Anolis sagrei: one gene and its partner. The protein of the gene in region 1 interacts with the protein of each later gene in a biochemical or structural test. Links are inferred from orthologs where the notes say so. Each region holds a gene or a part of one and is shown in the gene's direction. Other genes may lie near its edges. The genes, in order: TYRO3 and GAS6.

The links.
Region 2: the proteins of TYRO3 (region 1) and GAS6 form a complex in vitro, tested with the Homo sapiens proteins (2 studies listed by BioGRID). The link is inferred for Anolis sagrei from reciprocal best matches to the Homo sapiens genes TYRO3 and GAS6.

What each region holds. Positions count from the first base shown.
Region 1 is NC_090021.1:288,264,434-288,277,621, reverse strand, and holds the start of TYRO3 (tyrosine-protein kinase receptor TYRO3), read left to right. Parts: upstream 1-6,964; 5' UTR 6,965-7,356; coding exon 7,357-7,456; intron 7,457-13,188. UniProt on the Homo sapiens protein: Receptor tyrosine kinase that transduces signals from the extracellular matrix into the cytoplasm by binding to several ligands including TULP1 or GAS6. Regulates many physiological processes including cell survival, migration and differentiation.
Region 2 is NC_090023.1:108,205,454-108,217,700, forward strand, and holds the start of GAS6 (growth arrest-specific protein 6), read left to right. Parts: upstream 1-6,464; 5' UTR 6,465-6,584; coding exon 6,585-6,657; intron 6,658-7,570; coding exon 7,571-7,743; intron 7,744-12,247. UniProt on the Homo sapiens protein: Ligand for tyrosine-protein kinase receptors AXL, TYRO3 and MER whose signaling is implicated in cell growth and survival, cell adhesion and cell migration.

The sequences.
Region 1 (13,188 bases):
GGGAAGAAGGGGGAAGCTGGGTTTCTGTTCTCATGGCAACTGACAAGAAATACAACGTTCCAACATAGTTGGCAGACCTAAAAATGGGGTTTGGATGATTGTTTGGCGGAACAGAGGCCAGAATGCCAGTCAGAGCCATTGGCTCAAGTACTCGCTGTACATCTCATTTCAAGATACATGATAGTTTGAATTACACAAGAAGTTGGAGTTACACAAGAAGTTTGACAACTGTTTTGAGAGTGATTTTGGGAATGAGATTTGGGGTGAATCTACACTGTAGAATTAATGCAGTTTGACACCACTTTAATAGCCATAGCTAAGAGCTAAGGAATCAGCATTCTTTGGTAGAGAAAGTTAAAGGTCTTGTAAACCTACAACTTTTGTCACTCCGTAGCATTTATTCATGGCAGTTTGTTGTGTCAAGCTGCATTAACTCTACAGTATGGATGCAATCTTACTGTGGAGAAGTCACAGGGAAGGCACCCTACATAGTCTTTACTCCTGATTTTCATTTCTGCTTTTCACACCAGACATCTCCAAACCACTTCTTCCCCTCATCTTTTGGATTTAAAATGTCTTTTGTTTCTCCATACACATCTTTGAAACCCCACAATAGGAGCAAAGGAAGTAGGTGGTATGTGTGTGTGTTTGAAAGTGAAGTAGTGGGATGGTAAAGTGTTCCTGCTTGTCTTTTTCCCTACCACTTCTGTAGTTCATACTGATCTTGAACTATGTGGGGAACTGCAGGGTACCTTAGAGAATGCATATTGCTGTATTTCCCTTAGGTTTAACTATCTTATGGGTGTTTCCTGTAATTTTCTTCAAATAGCAACAGAGTGAGCCATCATATAGGATAAAACAGGTAACTTCTCGCTGATTCCATTCCAACGGCAACACTGTTCTATATGTAGGTTTGGGTGCATCTGAATTAATGCAGTTTGACATCACTTTAGCTGCCATGGCTCAATGGAGTTTAGTTTTTCAAGGTCTCTTAAGCCTTCTCTCCCAAAGACTGTTAGTGCCTCACCAAACCACACATCCCAGCATTCCATAGCATTGAGCCATGGCAGTTAAAGTGGTATGAAATTGCATTAATTCTGCAGTGCAGATATACCCAGTTGGTATATAACATACATAGTATTCTACCTATAGGAAATTCCATACTGCTCACAAGAAACCATGACACAATTGACAGGGGGTTTCACCATGTAACCCAGTGTAGGTGAACTATACATCCCAGCAATTACAACTCCCAAATGTCAAGTCTATTTTCCCCAAACTCCACCAGTGTTTGCATTTGTGAATATTGAGCACTGATGCCAAGTTTGGTACAGATCCACCATTGTTTGAGTTCACAGTGGTCTCTGGATATAGGTGAACTACAGCTCCAAAACTCAAAATCAATGCCCACCAAATCCTTCCAGTATTTTCTGTTGGTCATAGGAATTCTGTGTGCCAAGTTGGGTTCAATTCCATTGGTGGAGTTCAGAATGTTTTTTGGTTGTAGGTGAACTATAGATCCCAGCAACTACAACTCCCAAATTACAAAACTAATCCCTCCAATACCGCCAGTATTCAAATTTGGGTGTATCAGGTATTTGTGCCAAATTTGGTCCAGTGAATGAAAATACATCATGCATCTCAGATATTTACATTACGATTCATAACAGTAGCAAAATCACAGTTATGAAGTAGCAACTAAAATAATTTTATGGTTGGGGGTCAACACAATATGAGGAACTATGTTAAGGTTGCAGCATTAGGAAGGTTGAGAACCACTAATGTAAGCAACAAATGCTATTTAACTAGTGAAAACAATCAGTAGTGGCATGTGTAGTTATCTGGGAGTTATAGAGTCAAAGTCCAGTTGTAAGTATGTATCACAACTGTTGTTTTCAGGTTTTTTTTAAGCACACATGCACTCAATCTTTTCAGGAACTCAGATAAGAGTATCTTAACATACCCACCCTTACCCTCTAGAAAGTGAAAATTGCAGGGTGGGGTTTTATGTAATAATAGTTAACCAGGATCCTATTACTAGAAAGGCGAAATCATAAGCTTTATATGTGAAGCAGTGAGAATTACAATGATGAAATCATAAGCTTCATACGCGAGGAAACTGGCAGCATCAAATGACAGCTTCCATGTCGGCAGGGCTGTGAACTTGCTTTGAGATTTAGCCCAAACTGTAAAGGAGGAAACTAAGCTGTTTTGTGTAAAATTACAACCAAAACCTGGAACGGTTTTACCAACCGCTGATATAGAAGCTCCCAGCCAACACGGAACTGGAAAATTCAGTATTCTTTATTCAGTTGTGTTTGTTTTTGATTATGTGGAAACAAATCCCATGGAATTGGAGAAAGCTTACTTTCAGCTATGTGCACATTGCAGAACAATTATACATCACAATGTTACTCAATTTATTTTAATCGTGTTTGTATAAAGCCTATAATCATTACAGGGAATAAATGAATCAGTTACTAGCACAGAGATAGGATCAAGAGACACTGGTGAGAAGAAGCCAAGGAGAAATGTTATCAGTGGATAGCTATCTGTCAATAAGGATAGGCAGGCACCAGAGTTAATCTAAGTAAGACAGCCCTTTTTGGGTAACTGATTTGGGATCAAGAACAGAAAATCGGTTTAATTATTACTGTATTTTTTATGAAAGGAAAGGTGTTTATAGGGTTTCTTGCCACAAATACCAACGTTTATTGGTTCAATTATGCACTTCAACAGAACAAGTGAAACACTCTTTGCTCTTCGGCCCCAGGCAGAAAAAATGTTTTGCGTAAGCCCTACATGTTAATGTATGCAAAGGTACATCTGTGTGTACTGGTGAGAGGGGGCGGGCATTATTATTCCTTTTTTTTCTAAGTGTGTTGTGTGTTTACCCATCACAGAAACATGGGGCAGGTATAATTTCTCATGCCTTGAATTTTGTGGTACCTCCATGTCTCCCAAATGCATTATGGTCCACGCTTTCATGGACAAAGTTGTGATTCCAGAGAAAGGCACGCCACTTATTTATTTATTTGCTGTATTTGTCTACTGCCTTTCTCAGCCCGTAGGCGACTCAAGGCGGTTAACAGGGCAAAATTCAATGCTTACAATGTCATAAATACAGTTAAAAACATAACATATAATAAAAACTAAACAAATCAATAAAATAAAAATGCAAAATGCCTCCTAACGCTGTCCAGACTCATTGTGTAGTTCCTATGTCAGTTACTCTGCATTTGCAAACACTTGTTCAAAAAGCCACATCTTGACTTTTTTCCGGAATGTTAAAAGGGAGGTGGCCGATCTAATATCTATAGGGAGGACATTCCACAGCTGAGGGGCTACCACCGAGAAGGCTCTGTCTCTTGTCTCCGCCAAACATACTTGTGACGAAGGCAGTAATGAGAGCAGGACATCCCCAGATGATCTTAAGGTCCTAGATGTGCTCCTTTGTGCTCCAACTTAATTAACTAATCCTGCTTCCAAGTGATGGGTTTGTGTCACAGCTTCTAGCTATAAGGTTATCGTGCAATTGAAGTACATGTTGTGTTATGCTGTTTATAAAATCACAGAATCCAATCCCGTTAAATGCAGTTCTTCAGCTAAAACACCCCCAGAAGCTAACCTTTTTTTAAAGCAGTGGTTCCCAACCTGTGGTCCATGGACCACCAATCATCTGCAAGAACTAAAATATGGTCAGTGGCCTCACCATTACTACACCGTTGCAAACAAGAGTGATGGTCTCACGAAACCCTTTTATAGTGCTGAGGCTTATTAAATCAGGTTTTCTATGTGCGAGTAGATGGCAACGACTGGATGGCATATGTTCTGTATCAGAAACTAAAGCTGATGTGGTATATCCCATGCAGCACTCCAAACAACCAAACTGAGTTTAAAGTTGATTAAAAACTGATTTGTAACCCTTTTGGTACTAATGTTGGAGAGTCGTCCCTCATCAAAGTGTTCCCTGGTCAAGTGGTCCCTGGTCAAAAAGGGTTGGGAACCACTGCTTTAAAGACATTCAGAGGAGATCCCATCACCTCCCCAAGCAATTGGCTACATTACTGAACCACTCTTACTGTCAATAAATTTCTGCTAATGTTCAATTGAAATTTACTGTCCTAACACCTTTCCAACCCTCTGGGTCAGCAGAGGACAAACTTGGACCCTTCTCTGTGTAATGACTTGAGGTATTTGAAGGGTGCAGTCAGTTCACTCCCCCCCCCCCCCACCCCCGGTCTTCTCTTCACCAAGCTAAAACTCAGCTCCTTCAACCTTTCCTCATATGTCTTTTTCTTCATATTTATTATTCTTGCTGCCCTTCTCTGAACCTGTTCCAGCATGTCTATGTCCTTCTTAATATGAGGCACAATTTTGCCTTAAGTTCCAACTGTTTTGATTCCAGTGACCAATTCCTCCTTATTCATTATCAACAAATCCAGGAATGACAAACATCATCTTCAAGGACCAACATTCAAGGACCAAGCAGGAATCCAGGAGACCAAAATTCAAATTCCAGTTCAACCATGGAAACCCAATAAACAAGTTTGAGCTACTCCACACTCTCTCAGCCTGAGAGAAAAGCAATGAAAAAACCCCCGAAGAATGAAATTTGCCAAGAAAATCAACTGATAAGGTCACCAAGAGTCAGAGCTGCCTTGAAGGCACAGAACAATGAGTCCATAGAACATTGTGGATCTTATTTTTGAAATAAAGAGTTGTGGCACTGTTAGATTTTTCAGAAAATTACCCATTTCTCCTCTTTTTTAATTCCATATTCTTCAGTATCTGTTGGTAGATCCCCACCATTACCAGGCCCTATATTTTATTGGACACGTAAAAGCCTTTTATGGAGCATAGTACCAAGGGAAGGGTGAGGATGAAAGAGTGTTTGTTGAGTAAAATGGTAAGATAATCTGCTGCCTGAAGGTATTCCCATGCAGTGCTATCTGAAATGTCAACTCTAGGGATGTGGCAGTATCTACCATTGCAATTCAGCTGAACACTAGCTTATAACGGGTAACGGATAGCAGTGTGGCATATGTATAACTCCTTTGTGCTCCAACAAAAGGCAATGGTTGTGGTGTCAGCACACAACACCACAGCCTGATGTCACTGCCGCCTCCTGAGCCAAGTATCTGCCACTTAAGGCATTGCTTCATTCTGCCTGATGGTGGAGCCAGCCCTTGTTCATGCAAGACTGCCTGTGCAGGGGGAAAAATGGGAGAAAGAAAAATGCTGAATGACAAAACTGTGTACGAAAGAGCCAAGGGCAAAAAGCTAGATCCTTACGCTCTAATATTCCTCTTGCAAAAGCCAAATAAGGCCCGCATGCTCCTGCAATGCATTTTGTGCAATTATTCCATGTGTATGAAGATTACAAGCCTGGTGTCAAACTACAGGAAAATAAATTCCAACTAAACATTAGGGAAAACTTCTTGACAGTAAGAGCTGTTCAGCAGTGGAATATGCTGCCATGGAGTGTGGTGGCGCCTCCTTCCCTGGAACAGAGAGAGACTATGTGCCTCCTCACCAGCCTTTGTCACACTATAGTATGAATCCACCCTCAGCAGACTGAAAGCCAAAACCAAGGTCACAACAACATCTGTTATAGAACTCCAATATGCTGATGATGTCGTCTGTGCGCATTCCGAAAAAGACCTACAAGCCTTCGCAGAAGCATACGAGAAGCTCGGCCTGTCATTGAACATTGAGAAAACCAAAGTGCTCTTCCAGCAGTCACCAGCCAATCCCTCTCCAATGCCAGAAATACAGCTTAATGGTGTAACATTAGAAAACGTTGACCATTTCTGCTACCTTGGCAGCCACCTCTCCACAAAAGTTAACGTTGACACTGAAATACAACACTGCGTGAGCTCTGCGACTGCAGCATTTTTCTGAATGAAGCACAGAGTGTTTGAGGACCGAAAAATCTGTAGGGATACCAAGGTGCTTGTTTATAAACCTATTGTCCTCCCAACCCTGCTATATGCCTGTGAGACATGGACTGTCAACAGATGTCACATGCAATTCCTAGAACTATTCTATCAGAGCTGCCTCTGAAAAATCCTGCAAATTACTTGGGAAGACAAGTGAGCAAATGTCAGCGTGCTGGAAGAAGCAAAGACCACCAGCATTCAAGTGATGGCTCTCCGCCATCAACTCCACTGGACCGGCCATGTTGTCTGGATGCCTGAGTACCATCTTCCAAAGCAGTTGCTCTACCCCGAGCTCAAGAATGGAAAATGGAATGTGGGTGGGCAGGAAAAGAGGTTTAAAGATGCATTCAAAGCCAACCTTAAAAACTCTGGCATAGACACTGAGAACTGGGAAGCCCTTGCCCTTGAGCGCTCCAGCTGGAGGTCAGCTGTGACGTTCAGTGCTGTAGAATTTGAAGAGGCAGGAATGGAGGGTGAATGAGAGAAACGGGCCAAGAGAAAGGTACATCAAGCCAAACCCAACCAGGACAGCTTTCCACCTCGAAACCGATGCCCTCACTGTGGGAGAACATGCAGATCAAGAATAGGGCTCCACAGTCACCTAGGGACCCACTGCCAGGACACCGATCTTAGAGGGCAATCCTACTCAGACAAGGAGGGATCGCCAAAGAAGGCTATCTTTATGTTTTATATTTGGGACTATTAAAACAGCCAGAAAGTAAGTGCTGTTTTAATTAAACTGTTTGATACAAACTGGGTGTTTGTTTGGTTCATCTCTACCTGAATAAGGCAGAGCCCTGGCATCCTGACACAAAACAACCCGGCCCCTCAAAAACTTCAGGCGAGGAGGGCCAAGGCATGGCGTGGAGGCAGAGGTGTCTATGAGGCTGCCAGTGATGTCACGAGGAGGCCTCCCAAAAGCGCCATTTCCCGAGGAGGAGGGAGGAGGAGGGAGGCAGGCGAGCGCCACGCCGCGCGTAAGAAGAGGAGGAGGAGGAGGAGGAGGAGGAGGAGGAGGGAAAGGGAGCCGAGTGGAGCCTTTGTACTGAAGGAAGGAGGCCGGCAGGGGGGGACCTTCCCGGCTCGGAAAGGGGAGAAGAGGCGGAGAAGAAGGAGGAGGAGGAGGAGGAGGAGGAGAACATCGGAGTCTCTCTCCGCTCGGCCACATCGGGTCCTTTCCTTCGAGGGCGTGTGGCGGAAAGAAAACCCTGCGCCTTGCTTGATCGCTCTCTCTCTCTCTCTTTCCACACACGGACAAATAGGGCTTTCTTTGGGGGCTCTCCTCCTCTCCCCCCCCCCCTTGCTTAAAGAAAGGAAATCTCCCTGTGTGTGTTTGTGTGTCCGCGAGGAGAGGAAGGCACCGGGCTGGGAGGTGAGCGGAGAGGATGGTGACAACGATGATGATGTGGAAGAAATGGAGATGAATCAGACTATGCAGATCCGGGGACTCCTGTTGCTCCTGCCGCCTCTGCTCGGGGCGCTGCTGCTTCGGCGGGACGTCGCCGCGGGGACAGGTAAGCAGCAAGGAGGAAGGAGAGCAGGAGGAGGAGGAGGAGGCGGGGACGGGCCCCACACCGACACCACACGGGGCCAGCAGCAGGGCCGGGCGCGGGTCGGGGCGCCCCTCGCCCCTTCCCTTCCCTCTGTCTTCCTTTCCCTCTTCCGCTTTGAAGGCGACTCAAGTTTGTCCCCGAAGGAGAGTTCCAAGGGCTCCTCGCTCAGTTCTTGCTCCGTCTGTGGGACAAACAGGGGGTGACACGCGTGATTTGTTTCCTGAGGAATGGACTTCCTCCCTCAGCCTTCTTCTTCCCATTTCCAATCACAGGCTGAATATCCCATATTCGAAATACACACACACTATATGTCTTTCTACCCTACTAACTATAGAAGCCATAACAATGTGTATTGAGGAATGGACTTCCTCCTTCAGCCCTCTTCTTCTGGCATTTCCTATCACAGGCTGAGAATCCCTTATTTGAAATACTTATATATCTCTATCTATCTATCTATCTATCTATCTATACAAACACTATATGTCTTTTTTATAAATAAAGTTTATTATTATTATTATTATTATTATTATTATTATTATCCTACTAACTATAAAAGCCATAACAATGTGTATTGAGGAATGGACTTCATCCGTCTGCTCTCTTCTGTGATTTCCTATGACAGGCTGAGTATTCCTTATTTGAAATATTTATACACACACACACACACACACACACACAGAGGCCCATAGCCAGGATTTTGATTTGCGGGGAGCTGAGTTTGATTGGGGGGGGGGGGGTGAGTCTGAGAAAAAGAGGGTCTACCCTAGCAAACCTTTTGTATCGTTACCCCAATACCCCCATGCATATGGGATATGATATGAATAAACATAACCCTTTAAATAATGTACCAGCAAGGCCTTCTCGCAGACCACCCTGAGAATTTCAGGGGGGGGGGGCTGAAGCCCCTCAAGCCCCCCCCCCCCCAGCTACATGCCTGCACACATATATGTCTTTATACCCTACTAACTATAAAAGCCATAACAATGTGTATGAACTGAAACCAAACTCCTACAAACATTACAATATATCTGGCCAGGGGCCCCAAGTCTATACATACATACATTTATATTTACACATATATGTGTGTGTGTTGAGGAATGGACTGCCTTCTTCTGCTCTCTTCTTCTGTGATTTCCTATCACAGGCTGAGTATTCCTTATTCGAAATGCTTACATACACACAATGTGTCTTTATATCCTACTAACTATAAAAGCTGTAACAATGTATATAAACTGAAACCAGACATATTTAAACATTACAATATATCTGGCGAGGGGCTCCAAGTCTATACATAAATACATTTGTTTGCACACATGTATATGTGTGTATTGAGGAATGGACTTTCTCCTTCAACCTCCTTCTTCAACCTCCTTCTATCACAGGTTGAATATTCCTTCTTCGAAATGCTTATAAATATATTATATATACACACAGAGGCACACTATACATCTCTATATGCTACTAACTATAAAAGCCATCACAATGTGTATTGAGGAATGGACTTCCTCCTTCAGCCCTCTTCTTCTGGCATTTCCTATCACAGGCTGAACATTCCTTATTCAAAATACACATACACACACTATATGTCTTTAGACCCTACTAACTATAAAAGCCATAACAATGTATACTGAGGAATGGACTTCCTCCTTCTGCTCTCTTGTTCTGTGATTTCCTATCACAGGCTGATTATCCCTTATTCGAAATGCTTATACACACACACTATATGTCTTGATACATTGCTAACTATAAAAGCCGTAACAATCTGTACGAACTGAAACCAAACACATACAAACATAACAATATATCTGGCGAGGGCCCCCAGGTTTATACATCAAATTTGTTTATGTTTTGTATACATTTTTATTTGCATGTGTGTGTGTGCATTATTGTATGTATGTATCTGTAATAATAATAATAATAATAATAATAATAATAATAATAATAATAAATTTATTTATGGGTTGCTGTGAGTTTTCCAGGCTGTATAGCCATGTTCCAGCAGCACTCTCTCCTGATGTTTCTCCTGCATCTATGGCAGGCATCCTCAGAGTTTGTGACCTCACAACATCAGAAGAGAATGCTACTGGAACATGACCATACAGCTCAGAAAACTCACAACAGCCCAGTGATTCCGGCCATGAAAACCTTTGACAATATCTTTATTTATATCCCGCCTCATCTCCCTAGGCAGGCATGGGTAAACTTGTGCTCTCCAGATGGTTTGGACTCCAACTCCCATCATTCCTAACAGCCCCAGACCCCTTCCTTTTCCCCCTCAGCCACTTAAGCTGTTAGGAATGGTGGAAGTTAGAATCCAAAACACCTGGAGAGCCAAAGTTTGCCCATGCCTGCCCTAGAAGGACTCCAGGCGGCTTATGAAATAACAACAATACAAACAGGACTACACCACAGGGCAGGGCACAGCTAGTAAAATATAAAAACAGTAATAACCCAATCAGTATAAGGTACACCAAAAAGATAAAACATAACAAGGAATTTAACATGAAACCACATCTATACACACACACACCCAGTGTGATATCTTGGAAGTGCAATCTGAGTCTAAACATGAGACTTGTTTATGTTTCATATACATTTGTATATGTGTGTGTGTGTGTATGGAACCCCCAGTGGTACAGCGGGTTAAACTGCTGAGCTGCTGAACTTGCTGACCGAAAGGTTGGTGGTTCAAATCCGGGGAGCAGGGTGAGCTCCCACTGTTAGGCTCAGTTTCTGCCAACCTAGTAGTTCAAAAACATGCAAATGTGAGTAGATCAATAGGTACTGCTTCGGCAGGAAGGTAACAGTGCTCCATGCAGTCATGCCAACTGCATGATCTTGGGAGATGTCTACAGACAACACTGGCTCTTTGGCTTAGAAATGGAAATGAGCAGCACCCCCCGGAGTCGGACACAACTTGATTTAATGTCAGGGGAAACCTTTATCTATAAACACACAGACACGTACTGTGTGATATCTTCAAGGTGGGACCAAGTCTGAACATGACTTTGATTTCTTTCATATACATTTACATTTGCATATATATGAACCTACCGTGTCCTATCTTGGGCATGAAATTCACTTACGTTTCCCATACATCTACTACGTATGAGGAAATTTTATACACAATTTTAATTTTGTGCATGAAATCATGTCGCTGCCCATTAGACTACCAGAAAGCAACTACTATGGCATATAGGATCCATGCAGAGAATTCTGGAGTATTTTGGACTTCTGAATAAAGGTTACAAACATTCCAATTGCTGTGTTGTCAAAGGCTTTCATGGCCAGAATCACTGGGTTGCTGTGAGTTTTCCGGGCTATATGGCCATGCTATTGACAATTGACATCTTATGAAGGGAGGGTTGCTGCTATTTTAAGTTCAGTTGTTACCCCACCCCAATACACACACACACATTCACACACACATTCACACACACACTTCTTGGTGAGATGCTGGCCTAAATCTTTTCTTGCTTGCTAATCGTAGCGGGAGTAAGTTACAAAACTTAATTATAAAAAACATGTTCCCTTCCTTTAGAAAAAAACCCCCCTTCAGTTCAATGTTATGAGTGGTTTGAGGACAATTTTATCATTTAATCCCTCACTTCTGGTAATATATATCTAGAATCGAGACAATAGTTGCTCGGAACTGTGCCCTCTAAATAGAAGTCTTTCCTCTCCTCTACTTATTTGATTCTGGGCAAATCGCATGGCCTCAGAAAACCCTGTACTAGGGTCGCTGTAGGGTTTCTGTAAATCAGAAATGGCTGGAAGACACAGGACAACAACAAACTTATTCGCAGCTCTATGGTTCTGCAGCTATGAATGTACAGTCACGACTTTGCTGCCGTAGTAACATGTGGTCCTTCTCATCTCAAGTAGCTTATTGATTGAATGCACTGTTCCGTTTTTTTAAGCAGAGTTTCTAGCACAATTATGCTCTCATGAGTTTATTCTAAACCCCTCCATAGGTAGATCCCTTGCTTTTTCAGAAATCCTCAGTGAGGAAATGGATAGATTTCTCTATGCTTAGCAAACTATAACATGAAGGAGTAGGTCAACAGTTTCTTAAATAGTCAGGCAAGTAACTGATGGCCAGGTATGTTTAGATTTCTGTTCCAGCAACATGTGGAGTCCAAAGGTTCCCTGTCTCCACTCTAAAGCCTTTATTTGACTGCTATGAGATGTCATATATTTGTTTTTAAGAGCTCACCATTTAAAGCAGCACCATCTGAAATAACGAGAACCACTGGAAATATTTTGATGCTGGTGTTTGCTTTGCAGCCAGCATTTTAAATACTGTATTTAAGACCTTCAGCAGTTGTATTTGTTTTCATATTCAAATAGTGACCTCTAGTCTTATATGTGGGAAGGGTCTCCATAATTTGTGGTTACATCCAATACATTTGTGAAAAATGAATTAATACCCCTTTAGAGTCTAAAAAATATTCTTATTGCTTTTAATTGTTATGTATCAGGCATGGGCAAACTTTGGCCCTCCAGGCATTTTGGACTTCAATTCCCACAATTCCTAACAGCCGGCAGGCTGTTAGGAATTGTGGGAGTTGAAGTCCAAAACACCTGGAGGGCCAAAGTTTGCCCATGCCTGTTCTAGATTGATGTTATTGTTTGGCGTCCTAAGAGGATAGATTATAAATACTTAATTTAAAAAAAAAAAAAACAATGAGTTTTTTAAAGCAGTGGTAAACATACTGCTGAACTAGTATGTTCTAGCATGGTCTATAGAAGATTATAAAAACACACATGAACACATGTTCCTATACCGTTTTATGTATTGATTTAATGTTTTGGGAATAACTATTCCAAAATGGTAATGACAATTACAAAACACAGCAGTTCTTTCTGTGTTCTGCATTTTCAAAATTGTTGACATTTATTTCCCCCCTCTAATTTGATATAATGATATAATTTGATATGATGATATAATTTTGAGTACAATTTTTATTAAGTCAAGTGGGGCTAAATTTCTCAATAAATATAAATAAGGATGAACTGCCAGATCCTTTTCTATAAGTACCCTCCAATTTCCTCTCCGGTAGATAAGATTTAGTTGGAAAAAAATGGAAGGTTACCTAACACTTTGCATGCAAGCTATAAATGTTCATAAGGAGAATTTTTTAAAAAAAATGAAAATACAATGGTATATTACCACAAGGCTCAATTTGTAAATATCCTGGTTCATAATACAGGAACCAACTCATGTTGTTTTGAAGGTGATGGTTAAGTAAGTTGCTGAGCTCAGTTTGACTTGAAGACAAAACCTGTTGCATTCACAGCTCCAAGATCTGCTGACCATTGTTTGTTTGTGCTGCAATGATCAATTTCCCTATGATGGTACTGGAGTGGAAGTTGCTATTTCTAAATAAGTGATACCGGGAGACAAAGGTGTTATATTCAGGTCATAGATGGGATTGAATTGCCTGTATTTCCAGCAAGGTGCATAATATGGGTGAATAGGTGAAAGTTGAAGCCAGTATTGGGTTACATTTTTAGCAGAAGGTAATGAGAAAGACATCAGCAGATGGAAAAGAAGAGACAAGAAGGAGAAGGTTAAAATAAAGCCCTGTCTCACTGCTGCAATTCTCTGAAAATTGGGCGTCCCTGTATAGAGCTCCCACCCTATCTGGTTCTATAAAGTCTTTGAAAAAAATGGGACATAATAATGAATT
Region 2 (12,247 bases), on another chromosome or scaffold:
AAAGCTATTTTTGTAATGTCAAATATGACCTCCAATTAAAGGAAATCACACTGAGAATTAACTAAGGCACATACTGTGGGGACAAAACAGTTCAGCACTTCCTGTCTTTGAGAACCATGCGCCATTTCCTGGCACCTGGGTGGGAAATGCAATTACAAAACTAAAGCAGCGAGTCCCAGATTGGAATGTTTCTAAAGCATATTTTGATACATTCCCAGACTGTACTGTATTGGGTTTTTCTCCCTCAAAAACAAAAACACTGCTTCTTTGTTTTGTTTTCAAGAAGCTTTCCATTATATGTTTTACCATTACGATAAATGTTTCAAATATTCTGCTATTGCTGTTAAAAAGCATTTCCCTTTATAAAATAATTTATCTGTCAACAATTTACACTCATGTGTCATTTGGTTGTTTCTGGCTGACCTAGTACAAGCCTGGACCAGCTACAGATGTTTGTTATCTAATAGATAATATTTATAAATGTATTATTATCCAAATGATTTTCAAATAAATATGCACCCAAGCCCTATATAGAACTCAGGGGGAAAAGGGGGTGGGGGAAGTAACCATGGGATATTCTAGGAGATGTGGGTCCAAAATTAATCTTTTCAAGTTCTGATTCCTTTTGAGTTTACTTGAAAGTAGTCATATGGCTGTAGCACCAAATTGGAACAATATGTCTTGACGGACAAACCTAGGTTGAGGATTCTTTAATATCCAGTTAGATTACTGCAGTGCCCTCAGTATGGGAAATGCCCTTGATAGTGTTGGAAACTGCAGCAAGAGCAAAGTACTGGGTTGCTGTGAGTTTTATGGGCTGTATGGCCATGTTTCAGAAGCATTCTCTCCTGACATTTTGCCCACATCTATGACAGGCATCCTCAGAGGTTGTGAGGTCTCTTGGAAACTAGGCAAATGAGGATGTCCAAGGTGGGAGAAAGAACTCTTGTCTGTTTGATGCAGGTGTGAATGTTGCAATTAGTCACCTTGATTAGCATTGAATGTCCTTGCAGCTTCAAAGCCTGGCTGCTTACTGCCTGGAAGCATCCTTTGTTGGGAGGTGATTAGCTGGCCCAGATTGTTTCTTCTCTAGATTTCCCCTGCTTTTTAGTGTTGTTCTTCATTTACTGTCCTGATTTTGGAGTTTTTTAAATACTGGTAGCCAGATTTTTGTCCATTTTTATGGTTTCTTCCTTTCTGTTGAAATGGTCCACATTGCTTGTGGATTTCAATGGCTTCTCTGTGTGGCCTGACATGGTGGTTGTTAGAGTGGTTCAGCATTTCTGTGTTCTCTAATAACATGCTGCGTCCAGGTTGGTTCATCAGGTGCTCTGCTACGGTTGAAGTAGTCTGCAGTGCCTTTCATGTTCCTTGATCTGTGTTTGGGCAATGCTGCGTTTGGTGGTCTCTATGCAGATTTGTCCACAGCTGCATGGTATATAGTAGACTCCTGCAGAGTTGAGAGGATCCCTCTTGTCCTTTGCTTGAACATTTGCTGGATTTTCTTAGCGGGTCTGTAGATAGTTTGTAAGTTGTGTTTCTTCATCAGCTTCCCTACATGATCTGTGGTTCCCTTGATGTATGGTAAGAAAGAACACTTTTCCTCCGGGGGTGGGGATGTTTGTCTTGCAGCTCTTTGGATGTCTGTGGTGAAACATTCATTGGCCTGTAGAGCCCAATTTAGGTGGTTCAGTTCACCTTGGAGGAGGTGAAACAGAGAGCAAAATATGCAGCAGCCTGACTCATATCAGTTATATACAAGTATAGTAATCAAATAACATTGATCTTACATGGACTGCAGGGGCTTCCAATTTGCTTCTGACTTCAATTTAAAGTACTGGCTTTAACCTACAGAGCCCTGAAAGGGTTGTGGGCCACAATAATAGATCTGCTATCTCCTTCCCTCTGAGCCTCCCAAAAATTTGAGATCTTTGTGAAGTTAGGTTGGTGAGTACAAGTGACAGGGCCTTCTTCTAGTGCCAGAGGCTTAACTCCTATTGTAATACCAAACAACACTGGAAGGAATAGAGAAGAAAGGATTACCTGAGGAAGGTGTACCCACAACAAACGCCAAAACAAGGAAATACTACCCGGGATACCTTGTAGTAACCTCTTAGAACTCTTTTCTGACATTACGACAACTCTTCATGTAACAAACGGTTCTTGAAGTAAATTAAAATTGACTTTTTGAACTATTAGACAGATCTTGTCAGTATAATTGACTTCTAAATTGCCTATTAAGAGGAGATTTATGTATCCCAATTATGTATATACTTACCTGCAATAGAGATACATTTAAGATTTGTATTTGAATTTGTATATATTTTTAAACTGACTACATTACAGCATATTTGATATTTCTATAATAACAATAACATACTATTTCCTGTATACTCCATGGTATATGATGTCCCACCCCTTGTGGACTGGCTTGATACAGCTTCCAAGGTATGCAATAGTCTTTTTTAATGCATGGTCCAACATAGGTGGCTAATTCCCAAGTGAGTAAATGCTATATTCAAGTAACTAAAATCCACGAAAGGAAGTTCTCAAATCTGAAGCAGCTGGAGGGAAAGGAAGACACACAAAGGCACACCCGTAAATAAATCCCTAATGCCAGAGGGCAAGCATTTCCAGCACCTAAGACAAACAGCTCAATGGCTCAAAAAGAATTTGGAACATAAACAACAGCCCCATTGCCATAGGCTGGCTTTGGGCACATCTACACTGACAATTTAATGCAGCTTCAAGCTGACACCAAGATGTGGTGGCTAGAAAATGCATGCCGCCAAAGCATGCTTCAGTACAAATTAAAGTCTATTTATTTATTATTAACTTCATTTATATACTGCTTGGAGGGACGGTTTCCAACATATTCACAACAAAATTCAAGTCCTTAGAAAACATGAACAACGTAACATAAAACAACAGTAACATAAAACTATCAATTAAATCATAAAATGTAACTACATTTAAACATTAAAACAAGGGATTAAAAACATATTAATATAAACATTAAAATCACATGATTCAAAAGCATGGTCCAGGCCGTTCCAGTATCAAATTTTATTTATTTATTTATTTATTTATTTCCGTCACTTTTACCCCGCCCTTCTCACCCCCAAGGGGGGACTCAGGGCGGCTTACAGAGAAAGGCACAATTCGATGCCTTGTCACATATACATACATATATAAAAACAATTAAGCAATTACAAATTAAATCATCAATACACAGCAACACCATAAACACAGTAGTAGGCTAATCCTGAGCTCAGCGTTCGGAGTAACAATTGCACATACTCCATGTTTGTTTCTTATCCTGCATGCTTGGTTCCACCACCATGTTTTTGCTTTTTCCCCCCTGAAGGCCAAGAGGGAGGGCGCTGATCTAATTTCGTTGAGGAGAGCGTTCCGTAGACAAGAAGCCACCACTGAGAAGGCCCTGTCTTTCATCCCCACCAGTTTAAAATGCATTAGGTCCAAGGTAAATTCCTTAATGTGCTTAAGCAAGCATTACATCTAAATAACATTATATGGAGAAAACAGCTCTATGGAATGCAAAGTACATTGTAGGTACTGGTCTGCATGGAAGCATACTTAAAATAAGGATGCATCAAGGGCATAGCTGGGTGGCTGAGGGCTAATTAAACTATTGGGACAGGTAATTGATTACCTCCACTTTCCCTTCCCATCTGCTTTTTATGCCTCCAGAGCGCTGGTGTTATAATTCCTTCAAAGTCATGCCATAAGTGCAAACATGGGACATAATATTGTGGGCTCTAGAGGAGACCATTGGTCCAAAATGTTTGGCTAGGAGGAAGCAATAAAAAACTGCTATTAATTAGAACAGATGAGTGAAAGTAAATTGAACCTCTTAAAATTGATAGACATTAGAACAAAGGATTGAGATGTATGATTGATGAACTAATAACTAATTGGGATGATATTCTTTCCTGAACGAGAGTTTACAGGCAGGACTTTATAAAGCTGGTGCTCAGTTCTGAAAAGGAAAGCAATACCTTGATTGTTTTTTGCTTTTTGTTGTTTGTTAAGCAATAAAGCACTCTCTGCAGGGTAGACTGGGTTGCTGTGAGTTTTCCGGTCTGTATGGCCATGTCCCAGAAGCATTGTCTCCTGAAATTTTGCCGAATCAGTTGCCTGAGAGAAGGGCTAACAGTGGGATCACTTGGGAACGTCGCATAAGTAGCTGGAGACCAGATCAGTTAGGTGCTAGAAGCAACATTTTTTTCCCTGTGTTAGGAGCGACTTGAGAAACTCCCAAGTCGCTTCTGCTGTGAGAGAATTGGCAGTTTGCAAGGACGTTGCCCAGGGGACACTCAAATGTATTGCCATTCTATGGGAGGTTTCTCTCATGTCCCCGAACGGGGAGCTGGAGTTGACAGACAGGAGCTCACCCCGCTCCCCAGATTCAAACCTTTCTGTCAGCAGCCCTGCTGGCACAAGGATTTAACCTATTGTGCCACCAGGGACTCCTGCAATTAAGAACTGATGCCATTCAACTGGAGGGACCCAGGCAGTTGGCTGTGAGGAGGGCCAAGATTGGGATCACTTGGGAAAGTGGTGTAAGTAGCTGGAGACTGGGTCAGTTAGGTGCTGGAAGCAACATTAGTGAAACTGTTACAGCCTGTATCTCTGGAGGTGTGCCTTAAGTTAGGTGTGTGGAATAGGTTTTGGCTTGCAACCTAGTTGTTGGTGAGATGACTTAGCTTTGACCATTTTGGAAAGGACTTTTTGAATTCTTCTTGTCTCACCCTCTCAGACTGCTTTGGACTGAAACGAGTTCTGTCTCCCATCCTGGACATTCCACAGATATATACTGTGTTCCCTCGCTACTTTGCTTTTTGCGAACTCGCTGTTTTGCGGTTTTTCAATAAATATGAATTAAAATATTTATTGAAATTATTTTAAATATTCTCCCTCGCAACTTCCTTTCCTTCTCACTTGCAACTTCCATGCACCCTCTCAGCCCTGAGGCTCACCCATTACCTGTGAGGACCCCCATGTGGATTTGGTAGTCGTGGTTGGTTAAAATTATTCCCTCTGATGCCATGTTTCCCGGCACAGACATTGCACTGACAGGGAGGCGGGTGGGGGGAGCCGCGGGGTGGGGGAAGGAGGAAGAGGGAGAAGGTGTGTGAGCAAGAAAGGAGGAGGGGAAGGAGAGGAGGAGCCAGCAGGAAGTGTGGTGTGCAAAGGGAGGGAGAAAGGGAGGGGAAAGAGGAGATAAAAGAGAAGGCAAAGTGATTGAGTGAGAGAGAGAGGGGAGGGGGGAGAGAGGAGTGGGCGGAGCCACACCTAGGAGGGGCTGGTCTAAAAGTTGCTGCTCGACTAAAGTGACTGAAGGATTTTGTTTCTAAGGTAAAGGAAAAGTGTTCTGTAGTGTATAAATGTGTGGGGAGGGTTTATAAAGACTTAAAATTGTGTATAACTACTGAATTAATGTATACAGTGTTCCCTCGCTACTTTGCGGTTCACTTTTAACGGACTCACTAATTTGCGGTTTTAATTAATATTTTTTTAAATCCGTGAAACAGCGAGTCTGCTAAAAGCGAACCACGAAGTAGTGAGGGAACACTGTATACATAATTTCAGTAGTTACACACAATTTTAAGTCTTTATAAACCCTCCCCACACACTTATACACTATGGTATTTTTGCTGTTTCGCAGGTTTTTGCTGCTGCCGCTCTCCGAAGCACTTTCCCTCCTCAGTCCTCCCTCCCTCCAGCCTCGAAGGGCTTTTCCTTCACTTTATTTTACATTTATAAAGACTTAAAATAGGGTATAACTATTAAAATAATGTATAAATATTAACATAAATATAGTGTCCTACATCGTGGTTTTTCACTTTTTCAGGAGGTCCTGGAACGTAACCCTCGCAATAAGTGAGGGAACACTGTAAATATTAAAATAAATATAGCGTCCCTACTTCACAGATTTTCACTTTTCGCGGGTGGTCCTGGAACGTAACCCTCGCAATAAGTGAGGGAACACGGTAAATATTAAAATAAATATAGCATCCCTACTTTGCAGATTTTCACTTATCGCGGGTGATCCTGGAACATAACACCCACGATAAGTGAGGGAACACTAGAAACCCAAGTTTCCTAGTTTCCTTCAGACCTCACAACCTCTGAAGATGCCTGCCATAGATGCAGGCGAAACGTCAGGAGAGAATGCTTCTAGAGCATGGCCATATAGCCCCAAAAATAACCCAGTTGACCAGTAATTTGGTGGCCAGCCTGGCCCTGGAAACCTACTGGGTGAGAGTGGGCGAGTCCCACTCTCTCAGCCTCAGAGGGAGGCAAAGGGAACTCACAAAGGAGGGCAACGTCCCTCCAGGATAAAGCCAGCCCTCCAGTCTCCTTGATCTCTGCCCAGTGGAGGGAGGGAGGGAGGGAGGGCGCCCTTTCTTTCTCCTTCCCCGCTGCTCTCGGCTGAGTCCCGCAGTGTGGGCGCTCCCTCCTCCTCCTCCTCCTCCTCCTCTTCTCCTGCCTCCTCCTCCTCTGCCAGGAAGCCCGGCTCCTCTCAGAGGGCGCAGACCCAGCTCCAGCCTCTCGGCATCATGCAGCCCTCTCCGCCGGCTCCCGCGGCTGCTGCCCTGCTGCTGGTCCTGCTGGCCACCGACTCCTCGCAGAGTGAGTAGCAGCCTCGCCACGGCCGGAGGGAGCCCGGCGGGCCGCCCTTGCCTTGCCTTGCCTTGCCTTTCCCCTCCTTCCCCCCTCCACCGCCATTCTCTCCTTGGAGGATAACCCCGCTCCCACTCCCACCTTCCTCCCCTTTGTGGACCGAGAGACATCTTCTTTGACACTCCACGCAGCCTCTTGCGTGGAGAGCGAGAGAAGCCTCCCGTGTGCCTGTAAACTGCCTTTCCTTCAAGGTCAGGGCATCCTCCCTTCAGCCCTGTCTCTCAAGCTCAGGGTGGCTTATTCGCGAAGACTTTCTCTCTCTCTCTCTCTCTCTCTCTCTCCCCCCCCCCCCCCTTCCTTCTTGCGCCTTTCCGCTCCGAAGGAGCTTTCAGGGTCGGCTTGACCATTTGCCCTTAAATAAAGGGGTGCGCTTTCTCTCAGGAGAAAGGCTCAGAACCCCATCCATCCCCCCCCCCCCGTACTCTCCTCTTGCGCCCTTCCGCTCTAATTGGGCTCGAAGGGTCGGCTGTACCATTTCCCCTCCCAAAAGGTGACCTCAGTGGGGAAAAGGGGCGCGGGGATGTCATTGTGAGGGCAATGCTGGGCTTGAGGGACGTTTCTTGGGGGTCCCTGAGGGGGGAAAGAGCGCTGAGTGGGGAAGAAGGAAGGAAGGAAGCCCCAAGTGCCCAAGGAGGACTTTGAATGTAAACAATGACCCCGACAAGGAAGGGCGCGCTTGACCTCTGGGGAAGTGCGAGGCCGGCTCCCCTCCGCTCTTTGTTCCATTCGAGTTGGACCGCGGAAGGAAGGAGGGAGGGAGCGAGGAAGGGGAAGGGGCTCCCAAAGTGGCCGCCTTGCATTGAAAGAGCCCTTCGCTCCCCTTTTCTCTCCTCTCCTGCCCTGTTTCCTGGGGGTCTCGCAGCGACCTCGGTGCTGAGGGACCGGGCGGAGGCGTCCCAGTTCCTGCGCCAGAGGCCCCGCCGCGCCTACCAGATCTTCGAGGAGACCAAGCAGGGCCACCTGGAGCGCGAGTGCGTGGAGGAGCTCTGCAACAAGGAGGAGGCCCGGGAGGTCTTCGAGAACGACCCCGAGACGGTGAGAGCCAGGGCGGGAGGCAGGGCATGCACCTGACAGACAGGGAATGCACCTCCACAGCGCTTTGCCTCAATCCTATGCAACCATGGGAGTTGATGTCATTTCACATCAGGAGTTCTTCACCTTTCCCCCACCCTCTCCTTGCCAGTCAGGTGGAAACCACTGACTCCTCCTCAGAATGCAGTGGCAGATAGTTTTCTTTCACTCAACACCTGCATGTTCATGAACAAACTTGGGCCCTCCTGGTGTTTTGGACTCAACTCCCACAATTCCAATGGGATTTTGGCCCGCATCAATAGGGGTCTAGTGTCTAGATCCAGGGAAGTCATACTACCCCTCTATTCTGCCTTGGACAGACCACATCTGGAATACTGTGTCCAGTTCTGGGCACCGCAGTTTAAGGGGGATGTTCACAAGCTGGAATGTATCCAGAGAAGGGTGACTAAAATGATCAAGGATCTGGAGAACAAGCCCTATGAGGAGCGGCTTAAAGAGCTGGGCATGTTTAGCCTGCAGAAGAGAAGGCTGAGAGGAGACATGATGAGGGCCATGTATAAATATGTGAGGGGAAGTCATAGGGAGGAGGGAGCAGGCTTGTTTTCTGCTGCCCTGGAAATTAGGATGTGGAACAAAGGCTTCAAACTACAGGAGAGGAGATTCCACCTGAACATTAGGAAGAACTTCCTAACTGTGAGAGCTGTTCAGCAGTCGAACTCCCTGCCCCAAACTGTGGTGGAGGCTCTTTCTTTGGAGGCTTTTATCAGAGGCTAGATGGCCATCTGTCGGGGGTGCTTTGAATACCATTTTCCTGCTTCTTGGCAGGGGTTGGACAGGATGGCACACAAAGTCTCTTCCAACTCCATTATTCTATAATTCCTAACAGCAGGTAGGCTGTTAGGAATTGTGGGAGTTGAATTCCAAAACAACTGGAGGGCCCAGGTTTGCTCATGCCTGATTTAAATCCTTCAAAATTAAGTTTTACAACTTGCTCACAATTTCAATACTTGGCAGCCAAATGCAGAGCAATTTCTGTTCAGATAGTCATTTTCAACAAGCATTTAGAAATTCAAGTTTTCCCTCAAAACCCTCTCCACCAGCTTTACCAACCTTTTTGTATCCAGCTATGCATTGCACACAGAATGTGCTGCATCAAAATAAAAATAATCCTCAATCCACACTATACTATACACTATACATGGTTGGGTCAAAAAGTTTTGCCTCCCGTGTCATAAAAATATTTTGAATGAACATAGAACAGCAGAAGTCACTATAGATCATAGCCTGAACTATCTTCTACTCAAAACTATCGTTCAACATAGTCTCCTTCAGTTAGTACACATTTGCACCATTGTTTAAACCAGGCATCAAAACCGTTTTGGAAAAAAATCAGGGTTTTTCTTCCTGACCCATGATTGTAAAGCTGTTTGAATGTCATTCAGGTCATTGAATTTGAAACCATGTAGGTTGTTTTTCAGAGGTCGCACATTGCTGATGTCCATTACATCATCCCCATAAACATCCTTCAAGCAGTTACGGATTTCCTTAGGTTCACAACCTTCTTTTGCCAGAAATTAAATGACTCTTTTAGCTTCAGATTCATAGTTCTAATCAGTCAATTGGAAAAAGAAAAGACTGTATCCGTAGAGTAAGGTTACCTCTATCATATCATGCTTAGATAGTCCTGTAGCTGTGAAAGAAATAAAAGTTAAAGTAATGGAGGCATTACTTGTTGACCCATCCTCATATATTTGCATTCAGTTTATCTCTCTCTGTGTGTATATGTATGTATGTGATGGGCAATGCCAAGTCCTGCAGAGGCAGGAGGAGGAGGAGAAGGAATGAGGCCGCCAGCTGCTTGCACAGCTGGGGAAGTTGTTTGGAGGAGGTGGAGCTCTTGAGATAAATATCTCCAACCGCAGAGGGTTAACCAGCACTTCATTTAACAGGATTGGATTTGGATTGCCAGTCCAAGAAAGGAAGAGTAGCAAAAGGCAAAGGTGGGAGGAGGGGTTGTTTACATTGAACTAAGTATTAATCTTCAACACAGGAGTCAGGTTTTTTTTTTAAAAATGCCTTTGAAAAGACAAATCCTAGTGCAAGCCAGAATTGAGTTGCTGGAATTTCCCAGCATGGGGTGGGGAGAAGCGGGAGGAGGACTTGGTTTGTACAGCATAGCATTTAATAAGGATGGGGGTGCGGAGATGTCTTTATTTTCCACCTCTTTACATCTTCTCCCTCACCACTTAAATATTTAAAGTCTTTGCAAGTGTAAAGATTTTGCTGATGTTAGCTGCTGAAAACAGCTGACATAATTTAGGCAAGCAATCAAAAGTCTTGTTTTGGATTAGGGGAATTTGGTGCTATTTTTGGATAAATATTTGGTTGGAGGTAAAATGTATGCAGTTAATAAATTGATCATTAGGTAGAATGAATCTGAGGTGGTTAGAAGTCAAGGCTGTTTAGTGCTGAAACTCTGAATAACCTAGAAGGTACTTAAATTTTAAATAATTCATTAGCAAACTTGTATTAGCCTTTGGTGCTCAAATTGTCTGACTTCGCTGTTGTGTTCTTTCAAGTTATTTCTGATTGTAACAACCCCAAGTAAAATACATTGTGGAGTTTCCTTTGCAGGCATTGTTCAGAGTGGATTTGCCCTTGCAGTGGTTCCCAGCCTTTGGTCCTCCAGGTGTTTTGGACTTCAACTCCCAGAAATCCAAGCCAGCTTACCAGCTGTTAGGCATTGTGGGAGCTGAAGTCCTAAACACCTGGAGGACCAAAGGTTGGGAACCGCTGCAAGATGTATAGAGAGTGTGACCTGTCCAAAGTCATCTAGTGTGCTTCTGAGCAGTAATTAAACCTGGTTTCCCAGTGTCTTAGTTCAAGACTCAAACCATTACATCACATTTCCTCTCATGAGTGTCTGGTACTTCAACATATATGTATATTTCTATTTCAGTGATTGCTTGAGTGTTATTTCTGATTTGCTTGCATCTTTTTGATGTGCTGTTTTAAACAGGCTCTTTTATTGCAGGGATTATCTGGCATTAGTTTAGGGGAAATTTTCCTGGAGGAGAAATTGACTGGTGATTCTGCATAGAGCTGCACGTTCCCGTTAATGATTTGATGGGGTGCTGGCTGGTAGAATGAGTGCTATTTAGGTCAAAAGTACTGGGAACAGGAGGGACTTGGCTCCCTTATGTTAGAAGAGCAAATGTTTTGTATTCAAAGCAAAACATGTCATGTCATGTATACTTTTAATAAGCTTACAACACAGCCCTGTCAGAGCACAAGGAAATGTTGCAAAACAATAAGAATCAACAGCAAAAGCATTCTTATTGTGGAATTTATTTTGAACTTTTGAAAATAGACTCCAAGTTGGGTTGAAGCAGAAAGAGACAGGTTCTAGTATACGTTGTTTTTATCTCTGCTGTATAAAAGAATACGTTAAATAGATGAGCATACATATTAAACTCGTTGCTGCCATAAATTACCTTTTCTAATATTTGTAGTCCTAACTTATTTTTTAATATTACTGTTAATGCCATATTTAGTTGATTAAAAATCTCAATGCAATCCAGGTATACAACTTTGCTGCAGTAATTCGTAATAGAGTTTGTGTTGTTGAGCGCCTTCAAGTTGATTCCAATTTATGGTGACCCTATAGTAAGCATATTATAGAATTCAGCTACTAAAAACACTCCCAGGCGGGACTTCTTGTTGTTATTCTGATGTAGGGCCCTTCTACACAGCCATATAACCCAAAATATCAAGGCAGATAATCCACAATATCTGCTTTGAACACCACCATATAATCCAGTTCAATGTGGATTTTATACAGCTGTGTGGAAGGGGCCCTAGTGATCCTATCTCAGGGTTTTCTTGGAAGGATTAGTTGCCATTTTCTTCCTCTGAGGCTAAGAGAGAATGTCTTGCCCAAGGTTAACCAGTGAGCTTTCATGGCCAAGCAGAGATTCGAATGCAGGTCTCCAGAGTTGTAGTCCAATGCTCAAAATATTACACTATGCTGGCTCTCACTAAACCTAAACTACCCTGAGGATAAAAAAGGTAACATGAGACCACCAGTTTGATTTATTGGATTTCCTTTGGGAAGGTTGCTGTAAATGAGCAAACATGCTGCCTGTGTTTGTTTTGTCAGCACTGCATGACTCTGTTATAAACTGATGTTTAACAGCCTTAATAGAATTGTGGTGCTCCACTGTTACAAGGAAAAGTTGTGTTTATTTTCAGCTACTGCATTTTTATTTTGCTACTACTTTTACGAAGACAAGCACATCTATGAAAGGAATGTCATTTGTTTGTCTAGCATTATATGCCTTTTTATTTTAATTTTCTTCTGAACTTCCTCCCCTCCAATTTCTACAAATCTTGATGTTGTGTACTCTACTTGCCTGAAAGGGAAGGGAGTGAAGGTTGTGTCCTTCCAGTTTTCAAAGTGTCGAAGGAAGAAGGGGTGAATGCCTTTCAGAGGGTGACATATTGAGCT